Linked DNA regions of Danio rerio. The protein of the gene in region 1 purifies or fractionates together with the protein of each later gene. This does not show direct contact. Links are inferred from orthologs where the notes say so. Each region holds a gene or a part of one and is shown in the gene's direction. Other genes may lie near its edges.

Region 1 (4,222 bases):
TACATTACAACATCGATGCTGTAAAAGGAACCGTGTAAAATGTAAAAAGTCACATTAACTGTTCACCGAAGGGTTTATCAGTATGGGAAGAAACACTAGCTCTGCATATACCCTATGGCAGTACTACGCACTGCCTGCAGTAAAGACACACCCTTTCAGCCTGACATGGATGAGAAGATATAGGTGAACAGTCATTCTTAAAGCTTTTTTGGAAAACAAAAGTGTTCTCGGAGCTTGGGATGATTACAGATGAACCACTGAAGTCACATATAAGGGTTTGACAGGGTTTGTTCCGGACTTTGAATGTCTGCGGACCATTGCTGTCTATGAAGGATGGGAGTGCTCTCGGAATTAATTGAAAATATCCTCATTTAAGTTCTGAAGATGAACAAAGGTCTCAGGCGATTGGAATTGTCATTTTTGGGCGAACTAACCTTTTAATCTGATGGCGTATGTAACTAGTTGCTCTGCTGTCAGCTGGCTGTGTTTCAGCATTAGGGTCAGTTCTATGACATTTGAGTAAATATGGGAAACGCAGTGACACATCTGTCTTTATGAATGGCAAGTTCCTATAATAAGACATGGCGTATGCATATAAATAGAACTGACTGCTAGGTTTGCCTCCTGCTTTAAATAGATAATCTTGGCCAAATCTAAATGTGTACGGATGAGAATGTAACTTCTGCATTTTCCTCTCTTGAGAAGTCTCCTCGACCTGTTGTAAGCCCAAGCAGCTGAAGTCACCGGAGTTCAGACTCTCTAAGCATGTCCCGGGCTTCTTTTTGAGATTGTCACAGCACACGCAGTTCACAAAAGTTAGTGTTTATTTCACCGTTTCCCCTAGACTCATCAATCTCCGGGCCTGATATGCGATTAAAAGAAGCGCTGATGACATTTCATCACCTCTGAAACTGGGAACTGCGGCTCTTGTGAGTGTGTGGCATTTGACAGATACCCGAAGCGCACTACTTGTTAGCCTGACTTCTAACCAGGTGCTCATATGGGTTTTTTGTCACTCGTGCACCAAAAACCCAGCCAGGTGGACAGACAGCCGCAGATTATTATGGGCTGTCGCCAGCGGCCTGGGGTTTCCCTGGAGACCATGTGACTGGTGTTGTTTTTTTTCTTCCCTCTCTTTTAGGAGTTGTGTTTATTATGGGATGTCAGAGCGGCCTGCTTATTAGTATTATGGGATGGCAGAGAGGGCGGGAGGGGGCAGTGTCTCCATAGCAACGCGGTTGCTAAGGGGGCAGGGACTAAGAAAGGGGAAGGCAGTGTATACTTGCTACTGTGTGTGAGGGGGAGATGAGTATTATGGTCTGTAGGTTGCGAGGTAACTATGCAGAGTTGAGTGAGTGTTGTAGGGAGGGGGCAGTGTGCCTGGGATTATTATGGGATGTCTCTACCCCCCCTGATTTCTTTGTGTGTACGAGGATGTTCGCTTCTGGTCACTGACGCTGGGGAAAGGGGAGAAGAGTGGACGACGTCTCCCAAAGATTTACACCTTTTCGGAGCTTGTTTTTTTATTTTTGTAGTGGTAGGTAGTAACCTGCAGATTTCGCGTCAGAATAAAAGCTGATCGTAGCGCCGACCATCTACACCTTGGACTGACCTGTAAGTCAATTCCTCCCACCCACTTCCAACCGCCCGCGTTAACGATATAACGTAGATATACAAATGTATGTTTTTGTTGAGTTTTTTCTTAATGTAGCTTAAAACAGAAAACAAACATACAAACGTAATATTACTGGTAACTGTTACTTACAACTGCTATACCTCGCGTCATAACGCGCCATATGGTGTTTGTCGGGGGCTTCGCCACCTCCGCGTGGTATTCTCATGGAGGAAAGTTTTAGGTTGACGAATATAACCAGAAACGACAGCAGATAAGCGCTTTAACTCAACTCATCCAGCCGGCTGCCATTTTCCCTGCAGCCGGATCACTTGACTCTGTTTGCTAGCTTTGCTAACTTGATTGACAGCTAAGTTGAGGCTTCCTTTGCTCGGACCGAACGAGAAAGTTTACGAAAAAAGCCGAAATTATACGACTACGTCAAACTCTTTTTAACACTGCACGCCGTGTGATGATGACATGCCAACATGTTTAATTGATTTCATTTAATCTAAACACAGTTAGCCTCCCGTGTCACTTGTTTCTCTCGGTGTTAACATGGGGTGCTGCTAAAGCCCATTACAAAATACTGTGGTCATTTCTGTTTTATTCAGCGTCCAAACGGGAAAATGTCGGGGAGTGAAGACGACCGGGACCGCTTTGAACCCATGGGAGACGGTAAGGCTGTCCAGAACAGAGTCCGGACCCTCATTAACCACATCATGTTATATAACCTTCCCAAAATGAGCCCAAACATGCAAATGAACTGCTGACTTGTCAACGTAGATCTGGACAAATGGCCGTTTCTGTGAGGAAGAGTATGGCGGATTGAATGTTTGTATGTTTTGTTTGTTTGAGCCTCCAAGCCACGTGTTACCGCATCGCAGTACCTATTAAGTACAATCTTTAGTTTATGAAGGAGCATCAGCATGCAGAAGTCACTTCCTGATTCACTGGCTTGTATTACAACCAGCACATTTAAACGAAGAGAAACCTATTTGATACTGTACTTAACTTATTAAAAGCGAAACTAGCTTGATTTTGTACCTTAGCAATCACACCGCGCGGAATATTGTTTAGCATAGTGTGTCGAACCCATTTGTTTTGCTTTTCCTCTCCTGGCTGCCCTCAGTAATGGCGCTGGTATTGCAGCCTATCAGCAGAGAGCTTATAATAAATGAATGATTTCAAAAGCAAGAGCCTTATGCCCTAGTTTCACAGCTGCTAACATATTTGGACAGTTGGGTACATCTTAAGGCAGGAAGGCATGAAAGTGATGTATTCTGAAGACTAAACTGTTGTAATGGCTAGAAGTTCATCTATTAAAGTCATTAATTGCATTTAGTTCTTAGTCCTTAAGAAAATAATTAGGATTTCACATATTCCAGTCTTATGCATAATATAATATTCTCTGCTTGGGAAGGATAGGACAGACATGCAATCAAAAGAAAGAGGATTGTGCAGCTTTTAATTTTTCATGTATGATTCATTCACGTCTGTGTTTTGAACAGATATCGAAGAACAAATATCAGAAACAGATACTCCCAAATCCAAAAAGAAGAAGAAAGCAAAGAAGAGTCGTGAAAGCAGGACTAGCAAACGACAGAAAGTCATCAGAGAGGTGACACGCAAACACAACATACACAAGGACACGTTTGATTGAACAGTGACATAGTTTCAGCATTATTCAGATATAATTACTGTTCTTTTCAATTATCTATTGATCAAAAATGTATCGCTGAGTTTTCACTGCAGCTGTTTTCATTGTTAAAGGGCCATGAAACCCCCTCTGTTTTAGCAGGGTATTTTCACACCTCTAGTTTAAAAACGTCAGCAAAGTGGGTGAGTCCAGCTTTGTTTAGGTGGGAGTGGCGAAAGAGGAAAAGGTTTGCATGAAAAGAGGAGTTTGATTACATGCACTACAGCAGCCACACAGACGCAGGGAAGATAGACCAGGGGCCTGTTTCAGTAAGGAGGTTCAAACAACTCAGAGTTTAAACTTGAACTCTGAGTTGATTTACCGAGATATTAAAAACTCTGAGTTTTCGGTTTCAGAACAGCTGATCTGAGTTGGGTCAATCAACTTCGAGTAGACCAACTCAGAGTTAAGCGCGCACACCGTGACTATAAAAAGGCATTATCAGTGGAGCGCAGACATTACGAGTGACTATGGCAATATCTTATAAAAGAGATCAGCATTTCTTTCTCCAGCTGAACTTGATGTTCTCATGCAAAGTTATAGCAAATATGAGTGTATATATTTGAAAAGAAGCAGCCATCAACCAGTTAGCGTGGGAAAACAGCTGCTCAAGATAATGCCTAATTTAACTTTTTAGGTATTTAAATATTTAAGTATAATAAAATAAGTAATGTAATTTGTGAAGTTTATATATTTTTTTCTAAACTTTCTTTTATACATTTATTAGTTTTAAATGATTTAACAGTGCACTTGTGTGTCTGTCTTTTTTATTGATCAAGTGATAGAGGTTAATATAACATTTAGAAGGTAAGCAGTACTAAAAATAATTTTTAGAAAGAATAATAATCCCATTAATCTAGTTACAGTGCATATCGAAGGTGAATTCAATTTAATTATTTATTAAAAAAGCA
Region 2 (3,500 bases), on another chromosome or scaffold:
TTTTTTGAATAGGTCATATTTAGTAAATACACAGACATGCTTCCTAAGGAAGTGCTAAACCAAGATGATCCAGAGCTGCAGAAACCAGATGAAGAGGCAGTGAGAGAGGTAAGATTACAATTCAGTAGCAGTTTCTGATAGATTTCACAATTTTGTTTCAGTTTCACAATCATGCTTAAGACTGCTATAATGTACCCTTTTGTTTAAAAATTAAATACTATAATTAAATATTTACACAATTAATGCATGTCATTTTGAAATTATGTAAATGTTAACATTTTTCTTAAGTTACTGAAGTGAACTTTGAATAATAAGAAAGCTTAACAATTTTCTATCAGTGTTGTTTGATTTAATTAACATTAGGTTTGTTAGTCTTCATTTACACACTAGTGTCTAATATCAGGGTGTCTGCAGGGTTTTAAAAGTCTTAATGCTTTTAAAAGCAGAAATTTAGCCCTTAAAAGTCTTAAATTCACTAAAATATAGTGGCATAGGTCATTTCAAACCGGTCTTAATTTTCCTGTGTCCAAGTAAAGCTACCCTAACGGACTGACACCCAATAATCCATCTTAAAACTATTTTGTTTATATTTAAGCTTTTTATTGCAAAATTATACAATTCACAACAGCTTCTAGACATTTTTACAGCAAATTCTCCAAATTACATTTCCTAATCAGGGAATGAAAACTAATGCAACACATCCCTTTACATGATCTTCCATTAATATAAAAACTATTTACAGAAGTAACCAGGCTATTAAAAAAAGTCCCTATAAGGCTGAAATTTCACTCATATTGGCCTTGAAAGGGTCTTAAAAAGTCTTAAATTACACTTAAAGAAACCTGCTGAAACCCTAAATATACATGCACTGGCTTGAAATCCTTAACTTGCATTACTCTTTTGTACTGTGGTGTTAAAACAGCATTGATAATGGAAATATTTATGTTTTAATCAAGCGATCCTCATGAAATTAAATGGTCATTACGCAGAACCAGCATGAATTAACTTTTCTTTTTACCTCTGATGTAGCTTACAGAAAAGACCAGATTAGCTCTGGAGAAACAGGTTTCACAGAAAATCGCGGCAGCTATGCCTGTGCGTGCTGCAGATAAACAGGCCCCCGCGCAATACATTCGGTAAGAGTGACTTGTGAATGATGTGAAATTGTCGAATTTAAATAAATGTTCTGGTTTTAGTACAAGTTAGGCTGTTTTATCAGTATGATGTTCATTTACTTTAAAAAAAATATACTATATATAAACGTCTTTCTTGTTCTCAAAAAGTAAAGCATATCAGCTAGTGTTAAAAAGCTGTGATTATGTAAACGCATGAATAATTCGTTAAAACTTTTGTACTGTTAAAACAGTTTATTGTTTGAGCGTTTAAATTGTCAGATTCCTTTATGAGGTTGGAATAGTTGACCCCTTATGTTTTTTTTATTAATTTGGCTATAAAAAGACTGAAGAGACAATTATTTTCTCTGGTAATGGAGATTATGGTGCATATACTGTTGATGGAGAAAATTTGAAGGAGGCAGTGTATTTTTCTTTATACAGTGCATTCGGAAAGTATTCATAGTGCTTCACATTTTCCTATTTTTTTTCCACATATTACAGCCTTATTCCAAAATGGATTAAATTAATTTATTTCCACACAATTTCTTTAATTTCTAAATTCTACACACAATACCCTATAATGACAATGTGAAAAAGTTGTTTTTTTTTTTATTGTTGCAAATTTATTAAAAAATAAAACGCCTGAAAAACCACCTACAGAAGTATACACGGCCTTTAGGCTGATTTATACTTCTGCGTCAAACGTCGGCGTATGCTACGGCGTTGATGCATAGCCCTTCGCCGTGGCCGGCGGCGTCACTGACGTGCACCTCTCAAAAAATGTAACTACATGTTACAACAACAACAACACGTAGCGCAAGCTCTGTGATTGGTCGGCTTGGTATCGCTGACGAGTCTGGGCGGGACCGAGAGCCGTGTGAACGGCACTAGCCCAATGGAGCGATTGTTTACAAGTGTGGAGTCCCGTGAAGGAGCTCCGGATGGAAAGTTTTATTTTGTGTTTACCTCATAGTTAAAGTTGTTACACGTCCGCCGGTTCCTGCCTCAAAATGAGCGAGTTTGAGCCGCTGGTACATCCAGGAAGTGTTCAGGAAAAGCAAAACAGCAGCGAAGAGACTTCACACAGGAACACTTACACCTCACTGCCAACTAGCATTTCGAAGTGTTAATGCAGACCAACAGTGACAGCGCGCAGAAGTATAAATGCAAAGCTATGGGCGTTGCATGCGCCAATGGTTTCTCCGGTCACTTGACGCAGAAGTATAAACCAGGCTTTTGCGGTGAAGCTCCACTGATTATTCTTGAGATCTTTCAGCAGCTTAATTGGAGTTGACCTGTGGTAAATTCAGTTGATTAAACATGATTTGAAAAGGCATACACCTGTCTATATAAGGTCCCAGGGTTGACAGTGCATGTCAAAGCACAAACCAAGCATGAAGACAAAGGAATTGTCTGTAGACCTCTGAGACAGGATTGTCTCTGGCCACATGGCTGGGAAGGGTTACAGAAAAATTTCTGCTGCTCTGAATACTCCAATGAGCACAGTGACCTCAGTCATCCGTAAGTGGAAGGAGATTGAAACTACCAGGACTCTTCTTAGAGCTGGCCGGCTATCTTGGTGGAGAAGGGCCTTAGTCAGGGATGTGATCATTAACCCGATGGTCACTCTGTCTGAGCTCCAGCGATCTGTGGAGAGAGGAGAACCTTACAGAAAGACAACCATCTGTGCAGCAATCCACAAGTCAGGCCTGTATGGTAGAGTGGCCAGACGGAAGCCACTCACCATCTGGAATTTGCCTAAAGGCATCTAAAGGACTCTCAGACCATAAGAAACAAAATTCTCTGCTCTGATGAGGCTAAAATTGAACTCTTTGGAGTGAATGCCAGGCGTTACGTTTGGAGAAAACCAGGCACCGCTCATCACCAGGCTAATACCATCATTACAATGAAGCATGGTGGTGGCAGCATCATGCTGTAGGGATGTTTTTCAGCAGAAGGAACTGGAAGATTAGTCAGGATAGAGGGAAAGATGAAGGCAGCAATGTACAGAGACATCCTGCATGAAAACCTGCTTCAGAGTGGTTTTGACCACAGACTGGGGCGACGGTTTGTCTTCCAGCAGGATGTTGACCCAAAGCACACCGCCAAAATAAATAGACTGACTTCACAAAACTTGGTGAACGTCTTTGAGTGACCCAGCCAGAGCCCAGACCTAAATCCTATTGATCATCTCTGGAGAGATCTGAAAATGGCTGTACACCGTCACTTCTCATCCAACCTGATAGAGCTTGAGAGGTACTGCAAAGAGGCATGGGCACAATTTCCCAAAGACAGGTGTGCCAAGCTTGTGGCATCATATTCAAAAAGACTTCAGACTGTAATTGTTGCCAAAGGTGCATCAACAAAGTATTGAGCAAAGGCTGT
Region 3 (3,500 bases), on another chromosome or scaffold:
GACAAGTTGATGGCATATAAGTTTCCTGTATTGCCACAATGTTGTCTTTATTCTTTCATTAAGACAGTTACTTTTTTTATTCTGAATTAATCAGCAGCTGTGACCAAATCAGTTGAATTCAGTGAACGACTCATCCTGACACTAAGAGTAGTCAACTGTTGATGGCAAGACGTTGTTGAAATATCACCTTTGAGTAAAAAAAGCCCAAAATATTAAGGTTTCTTAAGACATCAAATGAGTCCTTTCTCTGGTTTTCTGTTTCAGCTCCAGTGATTGTTTGGGACAGTCAGGTTCAAGATGGATTCAAGAGCAGCCAGAATCATGAAGAAGCAGAGGACATGTCTGGCAAAAAGTCCTGCGCTGTTCCTGTTTGCTGGGACGGCAAGAAAAGCTGTGATGTGGTTCAGGAGCTCCTCAAGAACTCCTCTGATAAAGCCTATGGAACTGAGGGTGAGCTTTCAATCAATGTGTTTTTCATTTGTTTTTGTCCTTTTCCTGATAGTCAGGCTCGATTCTGTTGCTGTCGTTAATCTGGCACCCTGTATTTCAGAGGAGGGGCACAGTGAAAAAGTGTTTTGAATTTGAAGTGCAATACCTTATTCTACCACCGGATGTCACTCTTACATGTACTGCATTTTTAAACTACCTGTATCTGAAATGCCGCATAGATCCAGATGGTAATTATTCCACAAAACTGCCTCAGAACATTTAACCTCCTAGGGCTTAGTGGTCACGTACGTAAACAGCACATTTTAGCTCTTAAGTGGCTATTTAAAATACTTTGAATGTTTTATATTTTGTTACAGACATTCAGTGTCATCCAGCAACTGTTTTGCAGCATATGAAATGTCCCAAATACTGTTTTTAACTATCCAAAAAATAAAAAAATATATAAAATATATATATATATCCAAAATATTAAAAAAATCTCCAAAAACTCCTTTAACAGGGTTCTTACGGGTGCTGGAAATCCTGGAAAATGCTTGATTTTTAATATTGTGTTTTCAAGGTTAGAAAAGTGCTTGGATTTTGAACAAAGTGTTTGTACCTGCTTGAATTTGAAATTGCTGGGCTCGAAATTGTGACTTTTGGTTGCATATGCGCACAATTTCATCTGTGACCTCTAAATATATTTGAGAGCATATGTGCGAGTGCATAAATAGTTTTCATGCGTCTAGTTTTTATTGCAAAACGTTCACCGCATGCATGTATGTATGGAGCCAATAATATGCCAAAACAATCTGAATTTGAATTGTCAAATTATTAACACCTGTAAGCTAATAAAACTGATTATATGCTATTAAAAATTGTTTAACCGAATTTGAAACTCTTAACTTGATTATTAAACATCTGAAATTTAAGTCAAATTTTTGTAGACATATTTTCAAACTTTAGATTTTTTGGTTCTGAATTCAAAGACTGCAAATATTGGGTATGTAAAAAATACAGTTTTAAGTTGTTCAGTTGTTAAACTGTTTTGGCATTATTAGCTTCATACGTATTTAGGAGAAATTCACCCAGAATGCAACTTGAATGCATCTGAAACGCCAATTCAATATATATATATATATATATATTTAATAAATACTGTAAAAAAATAGCAATGCACTTGAAATATCATGAACAACTGGTCATGAAAGTTTGGGACTACACCCAAACAAAATCTGACTTTGGTCTCTTTCTACCTAAAGTTGATATCTCAAGAATGAGCTCAAACTTAAAAATATACTTCATCCAAAAACTAAACTTTTTTAATTTATTTTTTAATTATTTTTGGGTGAACTATCCCAATAAATCTATGCTCTAGAGTATTCAACAATTTAAGGTGAAATGTCATATTGTGTTTTTTAAAATAGCACAATGGATTCAAATGTGATTAAATGCATACAACATATATAAACATGGTTAACCGTGGTTGTTAGGTGCTGAAAAAGCATACAAATGCACCTTTAAAGTGCTTGGAAAGTGCTGGAATTTGAAGTTGGAAACGGTGTAAGAACCCTGTTTAAGATCTCCTGAAGTTCTCATCTGAATACTTGATTTGGTTCGCTGAGCTGAATTGTTGACTGTTTTGATTCATTTCATCCATCAGTTCTCAGTTGGGAAGGCGATCCGTCACTCATCAGCAGAGATGCCGTTCAGGATTCACGCTACGCTAAAAACCTGACTGTCATTGATGAGTGGGATAGTGAGTTCGACAGCGGAAAGGTGAGGATTAAAACTCTGACCTCTCATATGTTCTGTGCCTAATACTGAAGAGTCATTTAAAGCAGATCTCAGACTAATAGTCCACTGCAGACAGTTTACAGACATATTGCTAGTCATAGTTTCATTACAGAGCACATTGTCTGAAATGTTGTATTTGGATCAAAAACGCAACATCCCATTTTAGGTTCTGCAGGAAATTGACATTTGCAAACGTGAATTTATGTACATAAAAGATGACTTTACATGCAAGTAAAGTGCTTTGTTTCATACAAAGAACTTGTGCTTGTTTCAAATAACAAACTCTGCACATGACATATATGACAGTAGAGTTTATGTATATGTGTTCTATTAAGTATATACATGTGAAGTGTATAGAACAAGTTGTTTTATTTGCCTCATTCGAATAGGTGAAGAAAATTAAAAAATACAAAAAGGACAGGAGGTGGAACGGAAACGTCTTCCAGAAGATCCAGGAACATCGTAACATGTGGTCTGTGACGGGTGGCAGACGGTGCAGTCTGGGCTATCGACACTCAACGGTGCCTCACTTTATTCTCTTAATTTTCCCCCGCTTTAAACTATAAAGACATTTTTTTGGCCAGTTTACAAGACTTTTCTACTATTATTGGTTTTAAATGCATGTTGTAATTTCTAAGACTTAAGTTTGATGCTTTAGACTGTTTGAATTAATTGTATTACTTGAATATACAGTAGTCAACCTTTGAGGTTTATGAAAATGACCTAAAACTATTGAAAGATGCCCAGTCTCATCTTATTTATAAAAACATGTCTGATCCTGATTCAAATGTTTCAGTCTCCTTAAGAAAAAAAGTTTTTTTTAAAATATTTTTATTTTACTTATTTTTGTAATTGTTTTTAAATGTATTTATTTTATTTATTTTTATTCATTTATATTTATTTATATATATATATATATATATATATATATATATATATATATATATATATATATATTTTTTTTTTTTTAATTTATTTATGAATTGTTTTTTATTACTATTATTATTTGTTTATTTTCATATATTTGTATTTATATATTTTTTATTTATATGTATTAGTTTATTTTTATTTATTTATATTTATTAACATTTTTGTTTTAGTATTTTTTTATTCATTTTTTATATTTATTTTTATTTGTTTATTTATATTATTATTATTCATTATGTATAAATTTGTTTTTGTTTTTCACTTATATTATTATAATATTTGTTTTTTATGTGTTTGTTTTATTTGTACATATTTATTTATTTGTATTTACATTTTTTCTTATTTGT
Region 4 (3,500 bases), on another chromosome or scaffold:
CAGACACACTTTTCCCCTCTTTTTGTGTGCAGCTAATTCTAATTGGTGCTAATTTAGCACTAATTGCTGCACAGTTTTGCTCTCAGGGCATTTGGGAGCAATCAGGTCTTTTTCACAGCAGTGCATTGTGCAGATCACCCCCACCATTTTGTTTATTATCCAAATTATAATTAAAATAGAATATAATATTTTACGTTTTTTACTTGTTATAGCTTATATACATTTTTATTTCTGTGTGTGATTCCTTCTGTTAGCTGAATTATTGAAGCGGTAAAATATTATAATTGCTATATTATTTATATTAATATACCAAGCATATTAAGCCAAGACGCATTTAAATTAATCCCAAAATTGCTTTGTACCAGAATAGGTATCACAAAAAAATGAATTGAACATAGCTTGGTAGGGAAGGCATGGCTGTAATTGTTGTTTAATTTTATATCATCTTTCACCCTTATTTACATTTGGGCAAAAAAGTACTTTTCCAAATTGCATCGTGTTCAATAAGCTATTATCAGATTTCCTATATTCTTGAGAATAATTAGAAAATAAAGCCTGGCATGACAGACAGGGCTGCTGTTTTAAAATTCAGAGTCTGTCTTCAATGTATTTCATTTTAATTGAAAGCACAGCAGATGCAAGCCTGTCATTGTTGGCCTTCTCCACAAATCTCTACCTCTTTTGCAGACATAGATATCACCCTGAAATTTGGAGCAGCTGGGTTTCTCTTTACACTCTGGGCCTTATTCTCTGTGGTTGGGCATGGTAGGCACATACATTTTAGATCCAACTCTATTCTGCATCCAAACTTATGTGCCGAGTCTCAGTCTTTTGCATTGCCAGCCTTGAGAATAAATTGTCTGTGGTCTTAGAAAAAAATATGACTGAAGGGTTTTCATCAGTAAGGTGCGCGTATGATTTGTGAAAGCCAGGAGAGCCCCTGATTGAGGCAGTGACGGTTGGGAGATGGGCAGCCATCCAGGATAGATAACATCGCAATGGTATTTCAAATTGTGTGCTTGGGTTTTTGTGAGCTGCCAAGGATGAAAAATGAAAAACAAAAAAAGTGAAAAGAAATTGCGAGATGGCTCTCCTGGGGTGACTGGACTGGATGTGCTAAATATTAATTTGAGGTTGGGGTGATTGTCAGAGAGGCCAAAGCGTAGGTTAGAATTTGGATGGCTGCTTAATCAGGGCCTGTTAGATACCTGCTGGGGGATCACTCATAGGGAAGATTTGGAGTAAGCTGATTTACTGAATAACATAGAGATACTGCCAATCTCTGCCAAAATGATCATGATTTGAATGTGGTGGTCCTTCCCCCTTTACTTTGCTTATTGTAATTATGTTGCAGTTATAAAGGGGCTCTCAGAAGCTTTTGTGTGGCAGTGGACTGGTGTACTCTAGTTATTGAGAAAGTCTAATACTCAAACTTCTTTTAACAATCAAAACCTCTTGTTAACCTCAGCTAAAATCAGTGCTTGTCTGCGCATTGAAAAACATCAAGCTTCTATTTTCCATAACTGCTGCTCATTTCTGAGCTAATTCATGAGTAATTGCCACACAAGAATTCTCTCTAAAACATCAAGGACAGTACTTGCTGAATATCAGGTCCGCCATCATTATACACGTTCTAATGTCTTTTCTCTCTTGTTTTTTTTATTTATGCAGGTCCCTGACAGGCTGGATGAAATGAGATCCCCATGTAGCGATTACCATGGAAACTTGTGACTCCCCTTCTCTCTTAAGGCAGGAAAATGGGCAGCAGATATCAAAGCTACGTGAGACGACACATCTTGATAATGAGGTGCCAGAGAAAGTCCCTGGGATGGAGCCTGACAAGGAAAACAGCCCTGCGGATGACAACCTGAGGACGGAGGAGAGCCTTCGAGAGATCGCATCGGGATTGAGTGCAGAGAATGCGATAGGCACGGCCACTAAAGAGATCCCCTGCAACGAATGTGCCACTTCCTTCTCGAGTTTACAAAAATACATGGAGCACCACTGCCCGAATGCTCGCCTTCCTCTTCTGAAGGACGAGAACGAAAGCGAGGTCAGTGACCTTGAGGACAGCGATGTAGAGAACCTGACAGGAGAGATAGTTTACCAGCCAGATGGCTCAGCTTTTATTCTTGAGGACTCCAAAGAAGGTGGTCAGAATGCCCAGTCAGGGGTCAAAAGCCTCTTCTCCCCAGCACTGTTTTCAAACTCCCAAACTGCTGCAGGGGACAAGACTGAGCAGTCGGCCACAGCCCCCATGTCCTTTTATCCACAAGTGATCAATACCTTTCACATCGCTTCATCCCTCGGGAAACCATTTACGGCCGATCAGGCTTTCCCAAATACCTCAGCATTAGCAGGAGAAGGTCCTGTGTTGCACAGTTTCCGTGTCTACGATCTCCGACACAAGAGTGATAAAGACTATCTTACCATTGATGGTGCAGCCAAAAACTCCTGTGTGTCCAAAGATGTTCCAAACAATGTGGACTTGTCTAAATTTGATGGTTGCATTAGTGATGGGAAAAGGAAACCTATTCTGATGTGTTTCTTGTGCAAGTTGTCTTTTGGTTATAGTAGGTCATTTGTAACCCATGCTGTGCATGATCATCGGATGACCCTCAATGAGCAGGAGCAAAAGCTCCTTAGTAATAAATATGTCTCTGCCATCATACAGGGCATTGGTAAAGACAAAGAACCTCTTATAAGCTTTCTGGAACCAAAAAAAAACAATTCTATGTTACCACACTTTTCTACTGCAAACTTCATGGGCCCTGATCCAGGCATTCGCAGCCTGTGGAACACCTTTCACATGGAAAACGGTGATTCCCTACAGGCTGGTTTTGCCTTTCTGAAAGGTAGTGCCAGTTTGGCATCTTCTGCAGACCAGTCGCCCAGAAGTGCCCAGATGCCAAAGGCTGAACTGAACCTCGGGGTCATGGCCACTTCGGCTCTCAAGTCCCCCGTCAGCTCTGTGTCTCTCCAGCGCTCGTCACCAGGGGCTGGGTACAGGGATCAGGAGAGCAACTGTGAACGGCAAAAGGACCTTAGCACTTTGCATGCAAATGGTGAGCTCCCCATCAAAAGCGAGCCTAGAGATGTTGCCGACGCTGAGGAGGAAGACATGTATTCAAATGAGCTTGATGACGATGGTGTTTGTGAACTTGAGGATAGTACCAGTAGCAAAGATTTCCCTCTCTTAAACCAAAGCATTTCTCCTTTATCGTCCAGTGTGCTAAAATTTACTGAAAGGGGTACTACTTCCTCTGTGACTGTTGCCAATGACTTTGAGAAGACAAAGCATGCTGCTGCCAACTTGGACTACAGCAATGACTCTACTAGTGGAGGCAGCAAAGACAGCTGCGACTCCATCAGTGGCAGGGGTGGCAGTCCGCCATCTCTTCCTCTTGACCTGATGCGACGAGATGATGAAAGCCCAGGCCCTCTGCACCAGCATGCTGCCACTCCCAGCACCCCTGGCACCCCTGGCCCAGGAGAAGGCT
Region 5 (4,120 bases), on another chromosome or scaffold:
TATATATATATATATATATATATATATATATATATATATATATATATATATGCTCCCTTGCTGCCCCCTGGGGTTCTCCGGAGCCCAGTTTCGAAACCCCTTGAATAATGCATGTTTACATTGCGCTAAGGGGTCAATTTGTTATGATTATTTCAATGGTTAAGCAATTATCGTCACTAAAGTTTGTTTTGTAACATCAAAACAAGACACTTCAAGTGCTAACATTTCTGCATCAGACATTATTAAATGTTACTTAATAAAACATGCACTGTGAGATTACTGTAACTTTTATTCATGAGGTGACACTTATTGTATTTTAATGACATTGTCAATTATTATGAAAATTTGGGTCCACAAATTAATATTTATTCAAGTACTTGTGATTTTATAAATTTATCTTTTTTGAAATTAATTCTTAAGCATTACATAGTGAGTGAGTTAAATGTCATAAATAAATCGCAAAATTGCGAATTTCGAAAATTTAATTTTCTAAAAAAATATATTTTTTTCAGTTTTCATCACGTTTGACATGCCAGCCTCTACATCACTCCGCTCAAATTGTAAAAAAAAAATCAATCTATAAACAAACCTAATAAATAGATGCGTTAATTGCGTCAATACTAAAATTCGTTAATAATTGTGCGATGCATGTTACGATGATCATAATTATTATTTAAAATGTTATCGAATCTAGTAAAATCCCACTTAAAACTTGCAAACGTGACTTAAATTTTTTTTAAATTACATTTTCGAACAAAAAAAGCGACTATCGTGTTGATCAAACCGTTCATTAAGACTAAAAAAAACTTCCAATGTTATGTCTGATGGAACTGTTGGTCATGACATAAAATCAAAAATGGATCATCAGAAATTTCATGCACCGTAAATGCCAAGCAATTTTTTTATATGCCTTAGCTAGTATTATTACTTGCTGGTCACCCATTGGATGAAGACTAGTGGTGTGAGATGACTTCAGCAACAAGACCCCTCCCATCTTGTGCAGTTGCTCAGCAACCAGCTCATTGTTCAAGGTGCCATCTAGTGGCTCTACATGTGAATTACAAGAAACCGCGCCCTCTAGTGGCCAGACCTCTTGAATGAAAATGCCTTATCATGATGAATACATGAAACATAGAAAGTAACCACAACCTGACTAAGTCTCAACTTAAAAGTTGATTATGCTTCCCCACGTGGTTACAACTGAGAACCAGCAGAAGTCATACAAAAGAAAGTTTTGGCATGTCAAGCCTGCTTAAATCCGATTGGTCAGGCTCGCAGTATGATAATTACCCTCTTGACGTCACTTCCCAGTTGTTCAATGCGCCATTTTCTCGACTCTAAACGGCAAGCACAATAAATGGGTCCTACTTCCAAATTTTAATAAATACAATTAATAGCTGATTTCCATAACTGAGAGCACAGACTTCTTGTTGGAACATCCTTACATCGTCTCATCATCCTAACTCGTCGGTTCTGGCAGACACGCGGATTGGTGAAAGTAGGTAAATCTCCCTGGGTCGGTGTGTGGCGCCGAAAAAAGCTAATGTCCTCACAATTAGATAGCGGCGAGAACATTAGCTTTTTCGTTCAGTTGTCGCGCGGTCGGTGTGATCAGGAAGTAGAACGAAGTGCATTAGCCGAGTGCTCTGAAGAGGTTACTTCATGACATCACTGCGCTATTTGGAATCTTGCTTTCTAGAAGGGAGTCTTTTTTCCTGCAATGTGAAATCGCTCTTGTCGGTTTTTTTCTATCGATGCGGCGCTCTTGGAATATTATTTTCGCCCGGCTATAGAGTTACACTGGACGCTATTGTTTGGAAATTTCCGTGTGCTTTTGGCGGCGGGGTTTTATACGTTTGGGCAGCGGTCGCAGTTAATGCTTGCAATAAATAAATAATTACAGCTCGAATTGGATATGCTTTTGGGCACATTTAGATCATGGAAGTGCAGTCATTTGCAGTTAGGATTAGTTTATTTTAATCGATGCAGAATCGAAATTTGTCATTTTTATCCTGCATTTGTGCCCAATATCTGACATGTAGCACAAAATGATTTTTCCACATGTTCGGTAATACAAAGCTGTTCTCGGTATGCAATAATTAGCTAACGTTAGCCTTGCTATTGAATTCACCAGATTGTGTTGAAAGCGCTACACATTCAACAGGCAGAGATGATGAATATATGTGGTCAAAAATATATATATATAAATAAATAAAACAAACACTTAATGTTTCTTTACCTTTCATCACTAGCATGCACATTTTTATAATGCTAGGATCTCATGTTTGTTTTTGAGCAATGGAGATGGGATGTTAAATCAGCCTCATAAGTCAAAAGTGAAAACAAGCATCGTATTTATAATTGTATAAGAGTTGAACTTCGAGGGAAAATGTCCCTAAGATCTGTTTAATTTTATTTTTGTGACAGACTTATATACTTGAAATTAAAACATGCTTATCTGTTCCTGAATTATGCAAGCTGAATGCATACTTAGGGATAAGGCTAATAATAGATATGCTTTTATCTATATATTTCAATGTATCATATTATATGCACATTATGCTATTATACTGTTACACTTACCACAGCTAATTATGATACTATAATGGGGTTACATATATTGTACATATATACATTTATTTGCTTGGAATACATTTTAAAAACTTTGAAAACGTCTGCGCATGTGCTTGACCCTGCATTCATATAGATGCACAGATTGCAATCTGTGCATGTGTTTAAATTAGTTTACTTATGTATAATAATGAGAAAGATTACATTAATTGAAATAAGTTCACCAAAAAAAAAATCAAATAACTTTTTATTGTACGTGTACTATGAGGAGTGAAAAGCTTAAGTGCTGGCTCCAGACAGTGCAAAATACAACATATTCCCAAAAAACAAAAACAATATACAATTAGCAGTGTTGACAGTAATGCATTTAAGACAATGAATAGGTGTACAGATAGTCTGACTGTTGATGGAAAATTGTTGTAGGCAATATTGTTTTAAGTAACGATTGGTTAAAGTGTAGTGCATGCTATGTCTTGAAAATACTACCTATTTACTCATCTTTGAGAAGTTCCTGACCTTTGAGTTTCACTATTATGCTGAACGCAAAATAATTTATTTTGAAGAAAGCTGAAAATCTGTAAGCTTTGACTTCCAAAGTAAAAAAAAAGCACATGTCATAGAAGTCAATGATTTTCAGCATTCTTCAGTATGTATTCCTTTGTGTTATGTATTCCTCCTGCTAAAGCAGGTTTTTAACAAGTGAAGATGACAGTGAATTTGTCACGTGAAATGATTTTCCAGGTTGGAATAAACTGTCCTATTTTTTTTCTTTCTTTCTTGAGTATCCTAATTATTAGCAAAAGCAATTCAGGCTTTGTTCACACATGCCCATTCACCTGATTTATTTATTTAAATCTGGACTGAATGTACACACTGTTATGCACTGATTGTATTTTGATCCTCACTGTACACTGCAATCGTTCAGGATCTTGTATATATATCCATGCTGGTTTCTATAGAAATTGTATATAGGTTGGTGTCAGCTTTGTGCTCTACAGACACACACAGTGACAAGCAGTAAACCACTGCAGGTTAGTTGAGCTGATAGTGGCATATCCCTACCAACATTCAAAACTACTTCATTTTTCTTTACAATAATCTTGGTCGAACAGTACAAATGGTTTCCATTTATAGTGTCTTGTTTTTATATAAATAGTTTCCAGGCTAAAATGTCTTTCCAAAATGTATTTATTTAGTTAGTTTATGAATGGTTGTGTGTTTAGACCTAGCTAGCTAGCAATTCCAAATAGTTAAAAACAACCTGAGCAAACAGAGTAGAAAATTGGTTTACATTTTTTTTGTGTAATAATATTATAATACTACGGAGTATTTATTGTAGTACTGTATAATTAGGCTAGATGATTTTAATAATCGTCTATAGATAATTATAAGATTCACAGAATAATGAAATATAATGACATATAAATCTCTTTCAGGTGTTGCACCATGTACCAGTTTCCAGTAAAAGGTTTGGAGAAGATCCGCAGAACAAGGCGAAAAGTAAAAAATATTCTTGGAGAATTTGGACTTGAAGCATGTCTTAATCTGG
Region 6 (3,798 bases), on another chromosome or scaffold:
GGGGAATGTTTTTGACTGGTTGTCCTCTTTGGAGTACGCTTGTTTGTGAGATTTCTTCTTTTACAGCATCTTCAGTCTTAACATCCTCCTCGTCACAACTGCTCAGTGAAGAGGAAACACTCTCCGGCTCTTCTTGACTTGTCATCTGGCTATTTTCCTCCAAGAAACGCCCTTGTCCTTGCAAAAAGAGCAAAGCATTGGCGGCCTCCACTTGTGCCTCTTGTTTATCATACATTTCACAAGAACCTGCTTCTTTCATATTTGGGGAAAGTGGCGCTGAGGTGAAAACTGAAGGAACAAAATCAGGGGATCGAGGATTTTTCACTTGTTTTCCTGTAAATGGAAAAAAAAAACATTGATGTATTTAAGAGTGCATTCATGTTCTTTAAAAAAAACTAATAATTTATATAAATTAAAATGTTATGGTTTATAAGACACTTAAAAACAATGTGCAAATTCACCAGGCAACTCAATTTATAAGCGTTTCTTTGTACAACTTCAGTGCATCAGACAGTTTTAAAACACAGTATAAATCAGTAACTGTCCAAATCAAGCACAGACAATTAGTCTTTGATGAAGTCTAAATATTAAAATACACAAATGCAAACTCTTACAAGCAACTATCGTCTGATACAGTATTTTTACACATTCATCTAGTGGTTATAATGTGTTATTACATATAATCTGTTTTCTCCCTCCAGATGGCACCAATGGCTTATTAATATATATATATTTATACACAAACACACACATTATAATTATTTTACTATAGGGCATATTAAATTGTGTTGTATCAAGAAATATAAAAGAAAAACAGCGCATTCATTTTTCACATGTTAATTTAGTGAGCAATACCATGCGTTTACCCCCCCAAAAATAATAGCTTAGTCCACATTTGTATTGAACCCAAGCCCTAAAGTGCATTATAACAGTAAGAGTAATGTAGGCATCAGGCAGGGCTTCATCACCATTTAACACATTACTAGACATATTTACAACCATCACAGAGATTAGATTACTGCTAACCTACACATGCTATATGCACCACATAAGATGTTACCCTACCTGAAATGAAGTGTGTGCTGCAGAGTCTGCTGCCCTCGTTTGGCACCCACCCTTCACGATTCACAGCAGCGATCCAGCGCTGCTTCCGCTCCGGGTCGCGGGGAAACCTGTAAAAGGATAACGCGGTCCCTGGAGTTCTCCTGTTCCGACAACCGGCCACTACGCAAGTGTGCACCATATTAATGCCACCAAATTAGTGGACGTATTTGGTTTCCTGAACTAGTAATATTTACAATCTGACTCCCAAAATGGCGGTGGGGGAGAGTAGGCGACACGAGTGTGTCGTCATTTCACTAGTCGTAACCGGTCGGTCGTGATTGGTCCTCGCTGTCTTGGCTATGATGATATCATCTCACCGCGCCGCGATCGAGCGTTTACTGGCGTCGTGAACAGCGACTCATCGCTTATTCTTTCAACAAATAAGATAAAAATGGCTGTGGAATCGAGGGTCACACAGGAGGAGATCAAAAAAGAGCCAACAAAGCCAGTGGATAGAGAAAAGGTTTGTTTTCAGTTACTTCTGTTCGTCAGTGGCGCGAATATTCGTGCACAAACGAGGCGTCCTGCATGCTAAGCTAATTTGTAAATCTAACGCTAACTAAAAATGTAGGTACACAGAAACATTACAAAATATCTAGTTGCAACGTTATACTACAAATCGTATCTTAAACCGTGTGCATTCCTTTTAGACATTTGGCCTTTTTGTTTTATTTTGTACTCATTTTATCTGTTAATGTAGCATAGCGTACATTCTGGCAAATAAAAAGTTGCTTTTATTAAGCTTTTAATATATTTTACCCATTTTCTTATCAAGATTCTGTTTTGGACTGGTAAAAAAACGTCGACTAATATTTAACCATCCCAGTGCCATTTAAGTAAAAAGTCACATACTCTTTGTTAACAGGCTTCCATTTAAAAACGCAATTATATAAAAAATGTTTAACATTATATTTTTGGCACATTTCTTCAGTTTTGTTTTGGAGTAAAATTGAGCATGTTTTCATTTCAGGCCAAATGAACTAAAGTAATACAAATGTTGTTCTGATCGTCGACTTAAAGACAAATAACCTCTAAAAATCTGCACAGAAAAGTATATTTCTCATAAATCAATTTAGTGTTAAAACTACTTTTGTAGTTATTATCAGAATTGATGTTGGTTAAGAAATGAGATTACATCTGCACCAGTGGTTAGTGCGTCAACACATGCACTTCGGTGACCCGAGTTTGATTCCTGCCTAACGATCCTGTGCCAACTGTTTAATAACCATTATATTGGATGCACAGACACATCTGCATGTCTGATTGTTTTAAAAGACATTGTTATTAATACTTTCTACATGTGTTTGTTGTGCTCGTTGTGCAGACATGCCCACTTCTCCTGAGAGTGTTCACCACCAACAATGGAAGGCACCATCGCATGGATGAGTTTGCCCGGGGGAACGTGCCCTCTAGTGAACTTCAGATTTACACCTGGTAAGTATTATTATAAAACAGGCACTGCATCAATGATCAACTGAACCATACAATCCTGATTTGTATATGCCTTGGCTGCAGGATGGATGCTACTCTAAAAGAACTGACAAGCCTGGTGAAGGAAGTCTATCCGGAAGCTCGGAAGAAAGGCACACATTTTGGATTCGCCATTGTTTACCCAGACCCCAAACGACAAATCTACCGGTAATGAATACACAGTTCTTAATACTGTGTTAAGATTTGTTATGGATTTTTTATAACTCCACTGGCTTTATTGCAGGGTTAAAGAAATTGGCAACACAGTTTCTGGGCGCAAAGGTGCAGATGACTCGATGACGCTTCAGTCACAAAGCTTTCAGATCGGAGATTATCTTGACATTGCCATCACTCCGCCTAACCGCGCACCGCCTCTCCAAGGACGCATGAGGCCCTACTGACCTGAAACAACACTTGACTGCATTTAAATGAAAGGGGTGAAGTCTGTCTTCCTGCAGAGTTTAGTTCAGCCCTTGTCTGAGCTTTTCAGGTGAACTGCAAGACTTTGATTTGATCGAGTGTTTATGTCGGAACTAAACTCTGCAGGAAGGTTTATGCAGAATAGCAGCATGATTGAGCTGATAATCTCGATTTGGAAGTAAAAAGGAAAGTCTTTTCATATATTATGTTCTTTGTGGAGTTTTTTATCAGATCTACCTTTTTAGTTCTAGTCCTGTTAGCGTGATTCAAATCATTCATGAATAAATGTTTTTTTTTTTCAGTATCTTGTCTAAAGTCGTATCATTTATAAACCTTTTTTTAGTTAAATGAAGTATTCATTGTTTAAATAAATATTTCAATTTAGCAAGTAGATCTCAGAATGAATGCACTAATGATTAAGCTTTAGTAACTTTATAGTTGTCTCTAACTACTTTGTACTTTTTCCATGTAGTGCAGAATATGAAGATGTACAAGTTGGTACATTGTAAGTACACTTACAATTTAAAAGTATAGTATTCGCACAGTAAACTTTACCCCAACCCTACTATTGAACCGTACCTCACATTCAGTAGCAGAAAATGTGGGAAATTTCCAAAATAACATGTAGCTATAAAGTAACCATTTGGCCTTGTTGGCATTTGTATGTTCGTTTATTGTAGTTAGGTTAAACTGCAAAAGCATTTTGTCCATCTGGCTTTATCTACTGTAACTCAGGGGTGTCCAGAGTCAGTCCTGGAGCGCCAATGTCTTGCAAAGTTTAGCCTTAACCCTAATCAAACAAAC
Region 7 (4,131 bases), on another chromosome or scaffold:
TTGTTATTGATTTTGATATTAGTGTAAGCTTAATGTCATTTTTGATAATGAACTTAGTTGTTTTTAAAAATGATAAACTAATATTAGTGCATTATATGTAAATACATATTCAAAATATATGTTTGGTTTCTTTTAGATTAGGGCTGCTCAATATATCATTTCAGCATCAATATCGCATTGTGTGCATTTGCAGTTGTCACATCGCAGTATCTGCAATAATTTGGGATTATGATTGATCAGCAATAAAGACTTGTATTATTTTACATTGCATTTAATAATTTAATTACTGTACCTGAATATTTGACTACTGTTTGATTCTCTGGAAATCTGCATATTTCACTTTTGTCTTTACAAAATCTTATCTTATTTATGCTTGCAATTTGTTTGATTCACTCTGCCACAAGATTAACCCAATAAATCTAAATGAATGATTTAATTCCATAAAGTGGTATTCAAGTCATCTGCTGAAATTATATGAATATCGCAATATATATGACAGATAATTGAAAATGTCAAATTTCAGATTTTTTCCATATCATGCAGCCCTACTTTAAATATAATAAAATAGCTTTAATTTTTAAGTGTGTGTGTTGGTTGTGCAAAAAAAATTTGTTTTTAATTTAGTTGTAAAGTGTTTTTGCAATATTTAGCATGGATTTATTGTATTCTCTTTCAATTTCTAAATATGTTTGGTAACTAAAATATTATTTTATTAAATTATCTGTTGAATAAATCTGTTTTGTTCAAATGCACCAAAATAAATTGCCTAAATTCACTGAGAAATGGTTGAAAATATTAATTTTCAAAATGGGCTGTACCTTATGCTGAGCACTATATATATATATATAACAATTAGAAGAACTACTAGACAATATAAAAAAATATTTACTAAATGAAGTTAAGAGACATTTCACTGTGTTGTTTAGATTTGTTTTACACATGTGCAACAGTAGGTATTATTTATGCTGCAAATTAGTATTTTAACTGTCAGTTTAGTATCTAAGATATTAACCAAAATTGTTTTGTATCTTAATATTTTGTGTTTTTCTTAAATATATTTTAATGCTACCTTGAAGCTTTTTAATATTTGATCAAAAATAAATATTTGTAATTGTTTTTGATTATAAATAATGTTAGCTGTTTAACAGTGACTCGTTTTTAATTTAATTAAACATTTTGTTATTCCTAATTTTAGTATGTATTTTTTATTATGATTTTTTGTGAGTGACAAAGTTAAACTGTTTTAAATGTTACATGTTTTTCATCTTTTTTTATTTTTAAAACAAACAAACTCTGTCTGTTGTTGAATATCCTTTTCAGAGTTCTTGCTAATGGATACACCTGAGAGCCCGACCCAGTCCCCGCAGTCTCCCGAGGAGGAGGAGAAGGGTCTCTCTGACAATGAGCTGCTGGAGTCGCCTGAGTCCCCAGCAGAAGCAGACAAGGGAGTATCAGACAGTGAGCTCTTGAATGACGATGAAAATGAAGTCCCGGAGCATGGAGGAGACTCAGACTCTGAGGACAGAGACAGGCAGCCTGCTGGCCGAGAAGATCCAGAGGAGCTTTCGGATGTGGAAGATTACAAGTTGGACCGGGAGGAGAGAGAAGACATCCACCAACAAGAGGGTGCTTTGAGGGTTCAAGAAATCGCGCAGAAGGCTATCAAGTCTCCTGAGGAGGAAATCCTAGAGACGCCAAGATCTCCAGATCCTGTTTCGCCAGCGGCAGAACATGAGCGACCATTTACTCCAGCAGAGGAAGAGCGAGGAGATGATGATGAGGAGGAGGAAGAAGATGAGACGACAACCAAATCCGGCCTTGGCCAGGCAGAGCTTGAGGAAGAGGAGGATGAGGAAGAGGAGAGAAGGCGGCGGAGGAGAGCGGCGATGGTTGTGAGCGATCTGAAGGATGAGTCTTCTGTGTCCAGAGATCTGGATGAACACGAGCTGGATTATGATGAAGAGGTTCCAGAGGAGCCGAGCGCTGCTGCTCCTGAGGAAGACGAGCCAGAGAAGCCTGCTGTAGGGGAGGATGGAGAAGATGAAGAGGAGGAGGACGAAGAGGAGGAAAAGAGGCGCAAGAGGAAGGAAAGGAAACCCATTCTGCCTCCGGATAACAGAGACACACCCCTGAGAAAATCTGAGGACTCGAGGGAAGGAGGGAGGAGAGATTCGTTCCGTGATAAAAAGAAAGAAGAGGATGATGGAGAGATCGATGAGGGAGAGATAGATGTAAGTATACTGAAATCATTTGTGACTTTGCAGATTAATATTGTTTTTTTGTTTTATTAATATTATTTTGGTTTTGATGCAACCAGACAGCATTTGTGGAAGTTTGTGCATGAGGGTTTTTTGCTTGTATTGTATAGCCAGGTTGTAACAGTAGAGGGAGCCATTGAATGCAATATTTAGTTTTTTTTATTATTATAACAAATTGCACTACTTTTAAGCTAAAAATAGAAAATACTTCTTCTTTGAATATGAACTCATCACATAATGTATTAATTTATATTTAAATTAGACATTTTACTAAAATTTTAGAGTTGGTAGCATTTTGTAAATGAAAAACAATAATGTGCTAAAAAAATAACAATGTAATCGCCGTAAATATCATAGTAAAATGATGTATGTTAATATTTAAAACAATATTTTTAAACATATTTTAAATAAAATGTATTCCTTTTATTGCAAAGCTAATTTTTCTTTAATTTGTGGTTATTACTCTATCCCAAGTGTCACAGATTGATTTGATGCTTAAGAAATATTTAACATTAGTATCAAAGTTGAAAATGATGTGTGATTCATGTTTTTCAGGAGTCTTTAAATACAGAGCTCAGAGCATTTATTTGGTGTGAATGTTGTGTAACAATGTAAAAGCCATAATTAAAACATTTTTTTAACATTTTCTGTCTGTTTGCAGATTAAAGATGTTAGTTTAAAAACAAATACATTTGATTGGTTCCAAACGTCCCTTAGATTTAACTGAAAACTAAAAATTGTCTAAAGATCTTTATCAACATTTGAATTTTTTCACACACACACATACTTGTATACATGATTTACAGGGACACACCATAGACGTAATGTTTTTCATACTGTGAAAACTCCTAATTGTACAGTCCTACTCCTTCAGCCACCCTGTGGTAAATATTGCGTTTCAAAAGACCCTGTTAAGTATGATATTAATCATTTTGGATTACAGTTTTCATTTAAATTATATTGACGTAAAATCCCTTAATAGAATACAACTAAGTCATACCCATGCCAGCATCCCAAATTTTTCAGCCCGCAACCACTTAAATAACAATGCCAGTGACTCATGACCCCCAAATTCCTTGAAGGTGGTTATAAATATACAAGTATTGCTCACACAACAATAGCCCTATATAAACACGAGAAAATTGACAGCATAACAACCATATAATTTTAATAGTCATTTAATTAATTTGTTTAATTTTATATTTACCTCAACTTATGAGACTGGTAGACACAATGCTTTCAGCACAAATCTATTCTTTGTTTAAGTTTGGAGACCATTTGGAGATCATTCTGAATGTTCAGTTGTGGCCTGTATTTATTTTTAATGTATTTGATTGCCATAAAGGTTTCAAAGTTTAAACTTGTGCTATAAAATCAATCTGCTGCAGCTGACACTATGGCTGTGTTGTTAATCTAACGTAAAGATTAGATTGGATTAGATTAGATTCGACTTTATTGTCATTACACATGTAAAAATCAACGAAATGCAGTTTAGGTCTAACCAGGAGTGCAATAGCAGCAAGTGCAGGAGACGGGTTTAAGTGTAGTTAAATATGGTGATATTTACAAATGGATGTACTATTGGATTTTTATAGGATTGATAAACACACCAATCCAATGAAAAAAATATTTAAAGGCTGATTGCTTTTCATTTCCATGTTATTGTTTTTTACTATTAAAAACTGCATTTTTCTTCTTCTGTGGGTTATGGGTAAAATCTGGTAATTCTAATTGTTTAATAGAATTTATTTGATTTTGGAAATCACCAAGCGACCCCCTGTCATTGTCCCAGGACCCACCAGGGGGTCCCAACCCTTACTTTGGGAACTACTGCTGTAAACTACATCAAAGTCAAAGTCTGCTTTATTGTCAA

The links.
Region 2: the proteins of chd4b (region 1) and snw1 purify together in Homo sapiens (affinity purification with mass spectrometry; 3 studies listed by BioGRID and IntAct, with this or other methods). This does not show direct contact. The link is inferred for Danio rerio from reciprocal best matches to the Homo sapiens genes CHD4 and SNW1.
Region 3: the proteins of chd4b (region 1) and usp36 purify together in Homo sapiens (affinity purification with mass spectrometry; 3 studies listed by BioGRID and IntAct, with this or other methods). This does not show direct contact. The link is inferred for Danio rerio from reciprocal best matches to the Homo sapiens genes CHD4 and USP36.
Region 4: the proteins of chd4b (region 1) and zfhx4 purify together in Homo sapiens (affinity purification with mass spectrometry; 3 studies listed by BioGRID, with this or other methods). This does not show direct contact. The link is inferred for Danio rerio from reciprocal best matches to the Homo sapiens genes CHD4 and ZFHX4.
Region 5: the proteins of chd4b (region 1) and adnp2b purify together in Homo sapiens (affinity purification with mass spectrometry; 3 studies listed by BioGRID and IntAct, with this or other methods). This does not show direct contact. The link is inferred for Danio rerio from reciprocal best matches to the Homo sapiens genes CHD4 and ADNP2.
Region 6: the proteins of chd4b (region 1) and sap18 purify together in Homo sapiens (affinity purification with mass spectrometry; 3 studies listed by BioGRID, with this or other methods). This does not show direct contact. The link is inferred for Danio rerio from reciprocal best matches to the Homo sapiens genes CHD4 and SAP18.
Region 7: the proteins of chd4b (region 1) and zc3h18 purify together in Homo sapiens (affinity purification with mass spectrometry; 3 studies listed by BioGRID). This does not show direct contact. The link is inferred for Danio rerio from reciprocal best matches to the Homo sapiens genes CHD4 and ZC3H18.

Annotation. Positions count from the first base shown.
Region 1 is NC_133191.1:34,981,233-34,985,454, reverse strand, and holds the start of chd4b (chromodomain-helicase-DNA-binding protein 4), read left to right. Parts: upstream 1-1,422; 5' UTR 1,423-1,614; intron 1,615-2,226; 5' UTR 2,227-2,241; coding exon 2,242-2,290; intron 2,291-3,123; coding exon 3,124-3,233; intron 3,234-4,222. UniProt on the Homo sapiens protein: ATP-dependent chromatin-remodeling factor that binds and distorts nucleosomal DNA. Acts as a component of the histone deacetylase NuRD complex which participates in the remodeling of chromatin.
Region 2 is NC_133195.1:5,545,895-5,549,394, reverse strand, and holds part of snw1 (SNW domain-containing protein 1), read left to right. Parts: intron 1-12; coding exon 13-108; intron 109-1,029; coding exon 1,030-1,136; intron 1,137-3,500. UniProt on the Homo sapiens protein: Involved in pre-mRNA splicing as component of the spliceosome. As a component of the minor spliceosome, involved in the splicing of U12-type introns in pre-mRNAs.
Region 3 is NC_133178.1:61,789,192-61,792,691, reverse strand, and holds part of usp36 (ubiquitin carboxyl-terminal hydrolase 36), read left to right. Parts: intron 1-264; coding exon 265-450; intron 451-2,092; coding exon 2,093-2,208; intron 2,209-2,615; coding exon 2,616-2,747; intron 2,748-3,500. UniProt on the Homo sapiens protein: Deubiquitinase essential for the regulation of nucleolar structure and function. Required for cell and organism viability.
Region 4 is NC_133199.1:27,221,213-27,224,712, reverse strand, and holds part of zfhx4 (zinc finger homeobox protein 4), read left to right. Parts: intron 1-1,671; 5' UTR 1,672-1,717; coding exon 1,718-3,500. UniProt on the Homo sapiens protein: May play a role in neural and muscle differentiation. May be involved in transcriptional regulation.
Region 5 is NC_133194.1:23,184,530-23,188,649, forward strand, and holds the start of adnp2b (activity-dependent neuroprotector homeobox protein 2b), read left to right. Parts: upstream 1-1,320; 5' UTR 1,321-3,602; intron 3,603-4,007; 5' UTR 4,008-4,017; coding exon 4,018-4,120. UniProt on the Homo sapiens protein: May be involved in transcriptional regulation. May play a role in neuronal function; perhaps involved in protection of brain tissues from oxidative stress. May be involved in erythroid differentiation.
Region 6 is NC_133184.1:22,881,634-22,885,431, reverse strand, and holds sap18 (histone deacetylase complex subunit SAP18), read left to right. Parts: upstream 1-1,380; 5' UTR 1,381-1,495; coding exon 1,496-1,567; intron 1,568-2,428; coding exon 2,429-2,538; intron 2,539-2,619; coding exon 2,620-2,742; intron 2,743-2,818; coding exon 2,819-2,975; 3' UTR 2,976-3,298; downstream 3,299-3,798. Other genes in the region: uncharacterized protein zmp:0000001333, read right to left, coding at 1-333, 1,066-1,243. UniProt on the Homo sapiens protein: Component of the SIN3-repressing complex. Enhances the ability of SIN3-HDAC1-mediated transcriptional repression. When tethered to the promoter, it can direct the formation of a repressive complex to core histone proteins.
Region 7 is NC_133193.1:18,526,620-18,530,750, reverse strand, and holds the start of zc3h18 (zinc finger CCCH domain-containing protein 18), read left to right. Parts: upstream 1-1,331; coding exon 1,332-2,231; intron 2,232-4,131.